Arabidopsis thaliana: one gene and its partner. The protein of the gene in region 1 interacts with the protein of each later gene in a pairwise test. Each region holds a gene or a part of one and is shown on either strand. Other genes may lie near its edges.

Region 1 (4,190 bases):
TGGTAGAAGAAAATTCAAGCTTAATTAGATGCTAGTAGAGAAGATTGGACTAATATTTGAGCTAAACTGGGTATCATCAATAAGTTCTGGGTCTATTTAGTATACATATTAAGAGTTATAGGGCTACTGTGAAATTTATAAACAATTTTGAGGACTTACAGGTCAAGATTCTAAGGAAAGAATCATACTGGTACAAGAACGTTGGATCAGTTGTGGCCGTTGATCAGGTAATGCATTTACTTTTGAAGTTAACGATCTAACGGTTAGATATCGTTTCATCTTATATTCCGGTCTAAATTGTCAGGACCCGAAGACCCGATATCCGGTTGTGGTCCGGTTCGCCAAGGTGAATTACGCGAATATATCGACCAACAACTACGCATTGGACGAGGTGGAAGAAGTAAAATGAGAGACATGGTTTATCTCTAAACCGGTTCGTCTGTTTGTAATCTTAAACAAAACCGTATGTACCAAAAAGTTAACCAACAATTCATCTTTTATCTTTTACAATCTCAAGATCGATTTCCAAATATGCATTTAGCCACCCAAAAATGATTGCAAATTCCAAGTAGTGTGGATCAAACTCAGCAACTCCGGTTTAGTAACAGAACCCAGCATGACTCATTGACTGTTTTTTGTACGTAGAAAGAAACACAAGATTCTTATTGAAAATCTCTATATAGACAGTAAATTCAAACAGCAAATCATCTCGACTTCAATAAGGAAACATGAAGAATCACCAACCAGTTTCATCTCTAGAAATCTCTAGGTCTGACCGTTTTTTCCATTGGCTTCAGCTAAAATTGCTTCCAGCTCTCCTTTATTGTGCAGCTGCAATGTATCTGTTCAACAATAATGATATGCAGGTCAAGTTACCAGAAAAATCACAAGACATTGAGCAAGATCTTGAGTACTATCTATCTTGGTGCCAAAATACACAAAGACGATCTCAATTACATATTAGAAAAATCTCGGTGTTGAGGTAAGAAAGGAAGAGAGATTGTACCTGAGCAGCCACCAATGTGCTTGCCTCCTGGTCATGAACAAAAACATGATATCAAAATTAGATAAGTGATGGTCATAGCAAATGTAGTGGCTAAGATTTTATCGATAGTTTTGTTTTCAGGCAAAATAATCAAGAAAAATGATCAGAGTATAGTTAGTAACTGGCTTAAATGATGAAACAACTAACCGATGAAAACATTGGGAACAGTGTATTGTCCAGTAATTTTCTCCAACACATTCTGCAGCTGCGACCCTTCTGAACCTGGAAACGCCAAAAACCACCAAAACTTTTGTAAATGTTTCAGACCAATATCATGAGGCAGAGATGTTTTACCCAAAGAAACTAAACAAGACAAGAAAGAACAAATGGTTTTGGAAAGTCACCAAATCTTGACACGAGAAAAGATAACTAAGAAGATAGCAACATAATAGTTTCTAACAAATAGAAGCATACTGTCTAAGATTCAAAGGCAGGAAAGAATCTTCAATTTGAAAAATTTAAGCCATTAGAAGTACTAGCCTACCCGTTGATTCTTCATCAACAAGTCATTGGTCCAAGGAAAACTACAGTGGAAGTAAATTTTTCACATAAACAAGACACAGAATCTCTGAAATGTAAAGCTATCTTAGGCCATTAGAAACCCCCCTAACCATCATCAATCCTCCATCAAAATCTAATCAAAAAACATACAAACCAATTCAAGCAAGCAGCCAAATGAACCAGAAGATAAACAAGAAGAAGTTGGAAACAAGTATTAATTTCATCCAGTCAAAATGCTGAAACATTAGGGCACTTGTAACCAGCTCTTCCTTGATCGATATAAACAATATCACACACATTATCAAAACCAATATAGCAAACTACTCAGACCCATATAGCAAACCAAAGTAAAGAATTGAGCATACCAAGTTGATCCAATTCAACAACCAGTGGCTCAACTTGAAGACTCTTGAACAAGGACTTCACTTGAGACGAGTATCTTCACCACCAAAAAGAACAAACCCAGTAAAAGTATCAATATTGACAAACTAGATCATAAATTAACAAAACCCATTCCTCTAATTGAACCAAAAAGTATAGTGAACCTACGAGCACCAGGTTTTGGAGTAAACAACGACAGGGTTCTCTGCCACAGTCGTTTTAACAGTCTCCTCCAATGTCGATCCAGACGAAGACGATGATGAAGACATAGCCTTAACAGAAGAACAACGGAGTGGTGGCCACGACGCGATTCCGATAACTGTCGGCTTTAGACATCTCCTGAAAGGTAACATGCCCAAGTTTCTGATTCCGCTTAACATGGAGAAAGAGATTGCTGGATTTGAATTTAACGACGTCCATGTCATGTTCGCGAGGTTTACTGTTGCGGCTACCATGGCGATTTCTTCTTCCGACGAAATTGGATGCTTTTCTTATTTTTGCCCTCAGATTAATTTACCTCTTTTTATATCGCCGATATTTTTTGTTCTTTATTTATAAATATCAATAAAACAACTAAATATTCATAAGAATTGATTAAAATTCTTTGTTTTTAATACATTTCTGTAGTTTTTATTTTCTCTAGTAAGTTTACGACCTTTTATTTACACATCATGATAAAATTAACAACAACAAAGAAAGATGAAAATGATTGGACAAAAAAGATACTACTAGTTCTTTGATGAGGCCATTTAAGACTGTAAAACAGTAACAGAAATTATTCAACACCCCAAAATGGGGTTTGTGTCTGCAAAATCCAATCTATTGAAAGTACACAAAAACAAAACATGTGCTTTCTCTCCTCCACCTCTTCCTCTTAGACCATTTTTCATTTCAAGATGACCCTTCGTCGTTTGGCTCACGAATCTGGATCGATGTTTTCGACAAGCTTGCTTCCAATTCATCCAGCTCATCCATGTCTAGGTCATCATCATCATCATCGTCATCTTCTTCTTCTTCATTGACTTCTTTCGAACTCTGTTCAGCATCACCACTACTCTTGCTTGTCCCTGCCTCTGCTTCTTTGTTCTTTGCCTGAAAAGCAAAAAACTCAAGATTCCATTAACATGACTTGGTTGTTTTAAATGATGAGTGAGTGAGAGAGAGAGAGAGAGAGAGAGAGAGAGAGAGAGAGAGAGAGAGCTCACCTTTTGTTCAGTCTCTTCCTGCTCTCTTTCCCTCTCGTATTCTTCACAAGCCTCAGCATCATCCACAAACAAGCTTGCATTGGACAGAAACAGCTCCCGACCACTGAGGTTACAAATCCACACAATGAATCAGCTTCCAAGGACAAAAATAGAGTCACACTGGAGATGGATATGTAACAGAATGATGAATGGGGATTACCTCATACGGTCGTTCTTAGCTCTCTCCGCTTGAGAAGCAGCCAAACCGGCATCTCTCTCAGCAATTTTCTTCCTCTTCCATTCCATAAATAGTGCAGGAGTCATTTGTGTTGCGGTTTGCAGTTTTGCACGCTGAAACATAGAACAAGAAAACATGGGTCTCACAAATCAAGTACCGGGTCCTAGCAGCTATGAGGGAAACTTGAGGAGTATTTTAAACCTCGTTTTCGATTTCGTCCTCAACTGCCAGCTTCTTCGATGACTCCTCTTCCAAGAGGGCTTTCATTTGAGATTTAAGGACATATCCAGGAGGAAGCGCGTGTCTGTAATGACACTCTTTGCCACCATTGGGGCATGACCAGAACCACCCATACTGTTTCTTTTCCACAGCATCCAGAAAATACTTGCAAACCTATTATTTTTCAGTAAACACAAAAACAATTACAAGTCAATAAAACTCAGCGAGACAAATAACTCATGTGTTTAGGATAAGTTTATGAGATGATTATTGAGATGAGACGCAGAGATATTATTTCTTTTAGCATAGACGTATATAGTTAAGAAACATTTATTTCAAAATTATGATTAGCACTAACATCACCAAAAGCATGAGTTCTTGTCAGGCATGAACCAAGTGCGCAGAAAAACACAAGGGAACAACGGGAGGCATAATAACATCTAAGACCCTAATGGCTCTTAATATGAACCGTGCTATTAGCTAAAGGAAGCGCATCGTAAGGCGAATGCACATCAGCTAAAGGTTAATCACAGCAAGTGCAACCAAAACTAATGCATCACTTCACATAATACACGTTAAAAGGCTGTATATTTGAACACAAACCAGTTCAGACATTTTCACA
Region 2 (3,125 bases), on another chromosome or scaffold:
TGGAAGCAGAGCCGAAGCAAGTGGCTAAGCTGCAAGAGAAGGAGAAATCTCCTTCGCCTACGAGAAGTATCTGGTGCTTGGATGAATAGTGTTTGACCCACACTTCTTCATCACCGTCTCTGTCTCTGTTAAGCTCCGAGAGCTCCCTCATCGCCAATGTAGTGAAAATGATGATAGTTTGGAAAGTTGTTTTTTTTTCGTTTTATTTATCTTCGGACATATACTAACGTAACTTGCTCTGTTGATGTATAGAAGAGGGACGGTTTAGCTTCTCCAGACAATGGAAATGACGATTCACTTTACCCACAAAAGAAAAAGGTGATCACTGATTAGATTTGGTTTAAGCCCATAAAGTACATATATTTGTTGCTAAAGGAAGGTGACATGGACTATTGGAAAAGGCGTTTTGTTTCTAGCGTTAGCGATTAGAAGACGCAAACGCCATTGATGACAATGGGAGAATAATCTGAAGAAGAAAGAGACAGAAACATGGAAAAACAACCCTTTTGGCTCCAAGCTAACAAACACGGCACAATCGAGCTTCCTTTGAGAATTCAAACACATGACCATTGATTGGACTTTCAACTAAATGGAGCCTTAATTCAATTCATCAAGCTATGACCATTATAGTTTTGAATGCTAGAAAAGACAGAACTCGAATTGAACTAAAAGCAAGTGTCTTTGTTCCAACACACAATTCCAGAAACACCAACACACAACCTCAAGCGTATGTAAAAATGAAGACTTTGGCTCCGCAATAAATTCCAAAACAGAGCACTTTGATGGTAAAAATTCAATCTTTGAATCGAACAGAGTTTGATGAGAAACTCTGATAACAGAAACAGAAGATACATTAAACAGTACCAGTACACTAGTCTTTAGAAGGAGACTCAGACGGCGTCTTGGAGACGATAGAAAGAGCGTGCAATCCAGTATCCAACTCTTCCCGGAGCAAATGATAGACCAACCTGTGTCTCTTCACCAAATTCATTCCCTCGAATCCTTTAGAAACGATCTTCACATTGAAATGCGTCTCATCGTCGGTTCTACCTTTCATTCCGGCGTGACCAGCGTGCTGATACGAAACATCTTCGATCACTAACTCCACTGGTTCGAGCTCTTTTTGAAGCTTCTCTCTCATCCTGCTCGCTCGATTCTCTATTGCTCCAGAATCCGACCCGGTTTTCTCAACGCTGCTCATTGCTACGGATCTTGAACCAGTTCCCGTCGATTTTGACTCAGAGTTGAAGAATTTAGGTACGGAGATGAAGACGCTCGGAGAATTTACCGGCGATTTTAGGGGTTGAGTCCGGTGGAACCCAGATACGATTAACCTAATCGAAGATGAAAACATTGCCACTGTCGAAGAAACTCGAAACTATATTAGACGCTGTCGTTTTGTCAGCTTATCATCTTCACGAATCTACTATTAGAGGCGTTATTTGCATTAAGGTCCACAAATTTTCAAATATAATAACATCACCCCACATTTGTGAGAAAAAAATTACAAAAAAACAAACAAACTCTAAAAGTGTATCGAAACACCCTCATACTTCTTCACATTTGTGTGAGAAATCAAATAACAAATACATTCGAAAAATGTTTGTGTATATGATTTAATATTTTTTTGGTGTGGTTAAAAAACTTAAGACATAATTAAGTAATAACAATTTACAATTGTAACGTGGATATTTTTTGAAATGTTGATTTATGACCAAAATAGTATTAGATGAATTCTCCAAGAAGATCATGGTATGATAAGAATAAGATGGTATAGTGCTAAAACATACCCAAAACTGTAATCAGTTTTTGAAGTAAAGGCAATATCTTTGATTTGGGTAATAGTTTGTTTCGATAATTTTGGATGTACAAAATTAATTTTTAAAGTGGTTCTAAGCTGCTCATCCAAATTTTTTAAGGATCCTAATCTCTGGTCTAAACTTCATTAATGAATCATAAAAAAATCTACGGAACTAAAAGAAGAAATTGATTATATCCTTCAAATTTTATAGACAAACAATCGTGCAGATTAAATTGTAAATATGCTAATTTTGTTCCTGTGTATAATATTTTACATTGTAGCATCCTTTGGTAGTGTAGATGTTGAGAAAACTAATATTAATTGGTAAATTATATATTTCGAAAAACAAAATTCAGGTAAATAGATTTGGAGGAAACATATGAAGTTAAAATGTTATGGATAAAAACAGAATAAACAAATTATTGTAGACGTAATCCAAAATAGTATAAAATAAATAATTTTGCAGTAACGTAAGATTGCATTCGACCACACGCATCTATATCACTGCGTTTTTAGCTGCAGCTTTCGATAGTAGGTCCTACATCCTATTCGGATCTGACGTGGATCCTTGATCACACTCTCTACTTTAGGGACTCAAACACTCTCACATTTACGAGAATTGCCACTACCACGTCCCTCAGTGGGAAGGGTACTTTCGTAAAACCAAAAAAACCACTTTCCGGTTTCCGCAAAAACCCGTCACCGCCGCTGCATCCTCCCTTCATTCTTTTCTCTCTTTCAACGCATATACATACACTTATATACGTTATCAATATATTTTATTTTTAATAAGTCCAGTTTTTGTCTGTGCATCGAGTTTAACAGGCAATGCTCGTGTCTCTCTCTCTTTATATGTTTAGATTCTTTATCTGGAACTTGGAAGCTCTTTTGTTAGCTATATCTAATCGGTGATCTCGAAGCTTATTCAATCCCTCTTTCTTTTTTCGTGAGTTTTTATCTTCATGTTGATTCGGTTTATATTGGTTTATATGATGATGAAACGTTTCTTATAATTCTTTTGCATGTATTGATCTAAAAAAATCTAGCTTTCTTCTCTTCTGATCTCTGTTTTCTTTTTGTTCTTTCCCTTTTTTACCCGGGAAAAAGTTACGGTTTCATGTTTAGGATTGGCGTTACTATTATCTGGTGGCCTATCATGATTGGTTGATTGTTTTGTGTGTTATACTGGATTTGAGAAAATGGGTATCACGGCATTGGCACTTGTGGCATCTAACTAATATCACTAAAAAGTTTGATTCTTTTGAGGAATTGTTTTTTGACTGGAAAGTGTTCCTTTTTGTTCCTGGATGGTGACAACAAAGGT

The links. Proteins that work in one complex are often made in the same cells at the same time.
Region 2: the proteins of AT2G20270 (region 1) and AT1G55805 interact in a two-hybrid assay, tested with the Arabidopsis thaliana proteins (one study listed by BioGRID).

Annotation. Positions count from the first base shown.
Region 1 is NC_003071.7:8,737,236-8,741,425, forward strand, and holds AT2G20270 (Thioredoxin superfamily protein), read right to left. Parts: upstream 2,426-4,190; 5' UTR 2,383-2,425; coding exon 2,096-2,382; intron 1,986-2,095; coding exon 1,912-1,985; intron 1,349-1,911; coding exon 1,193-1,348; intron 1,034-1,192; coding exon 1,007-1,033; intron 843-1,006; coding exon 766-842; 3' UTR 551-765; downstream 1-550. Other genes in the region: PSAE-2 (photosystem I subunit E-2), read left to right, coding at 162-227, 305-409; AT2G20280 (Zinc finger C-x8-C-x5-C-x3-H type family protein), read right to left, coding at 2,819-3,019, 3,133-3,235, 3,332-3,462, 3,551-3,742. UniProt on the Arabidopsis thaliana protein: May only reduce GSH-thiol disulfides, but not protein disulfides.
Region 2 is NC_003070.9:20,858,085-20,861,209, forward strand, and holds AT1G55805 (BolA-like family protein), read right to left. Parts: upstream 1,400-3,125; 5' UTR 1,355-1,399; coding exon 872-1,354; 3' UTR 526-871; downstream 1-525. Other genes in the region: AT1G55803 (ferredoxin-fold anticodon-binding domain protein), read right to left, coding at 1-151. UniProt on the Arabidopsis thaliana protein: May act either alone or in interaction with glutaredoxin as a redox-regulated transcriptional regulator, or as a factor regulating Fe-S cluster biogenesis. The glutaredoxin-BOLA1 heterodimers bind a labile, oxygen sensitive iron-sulfur cluster.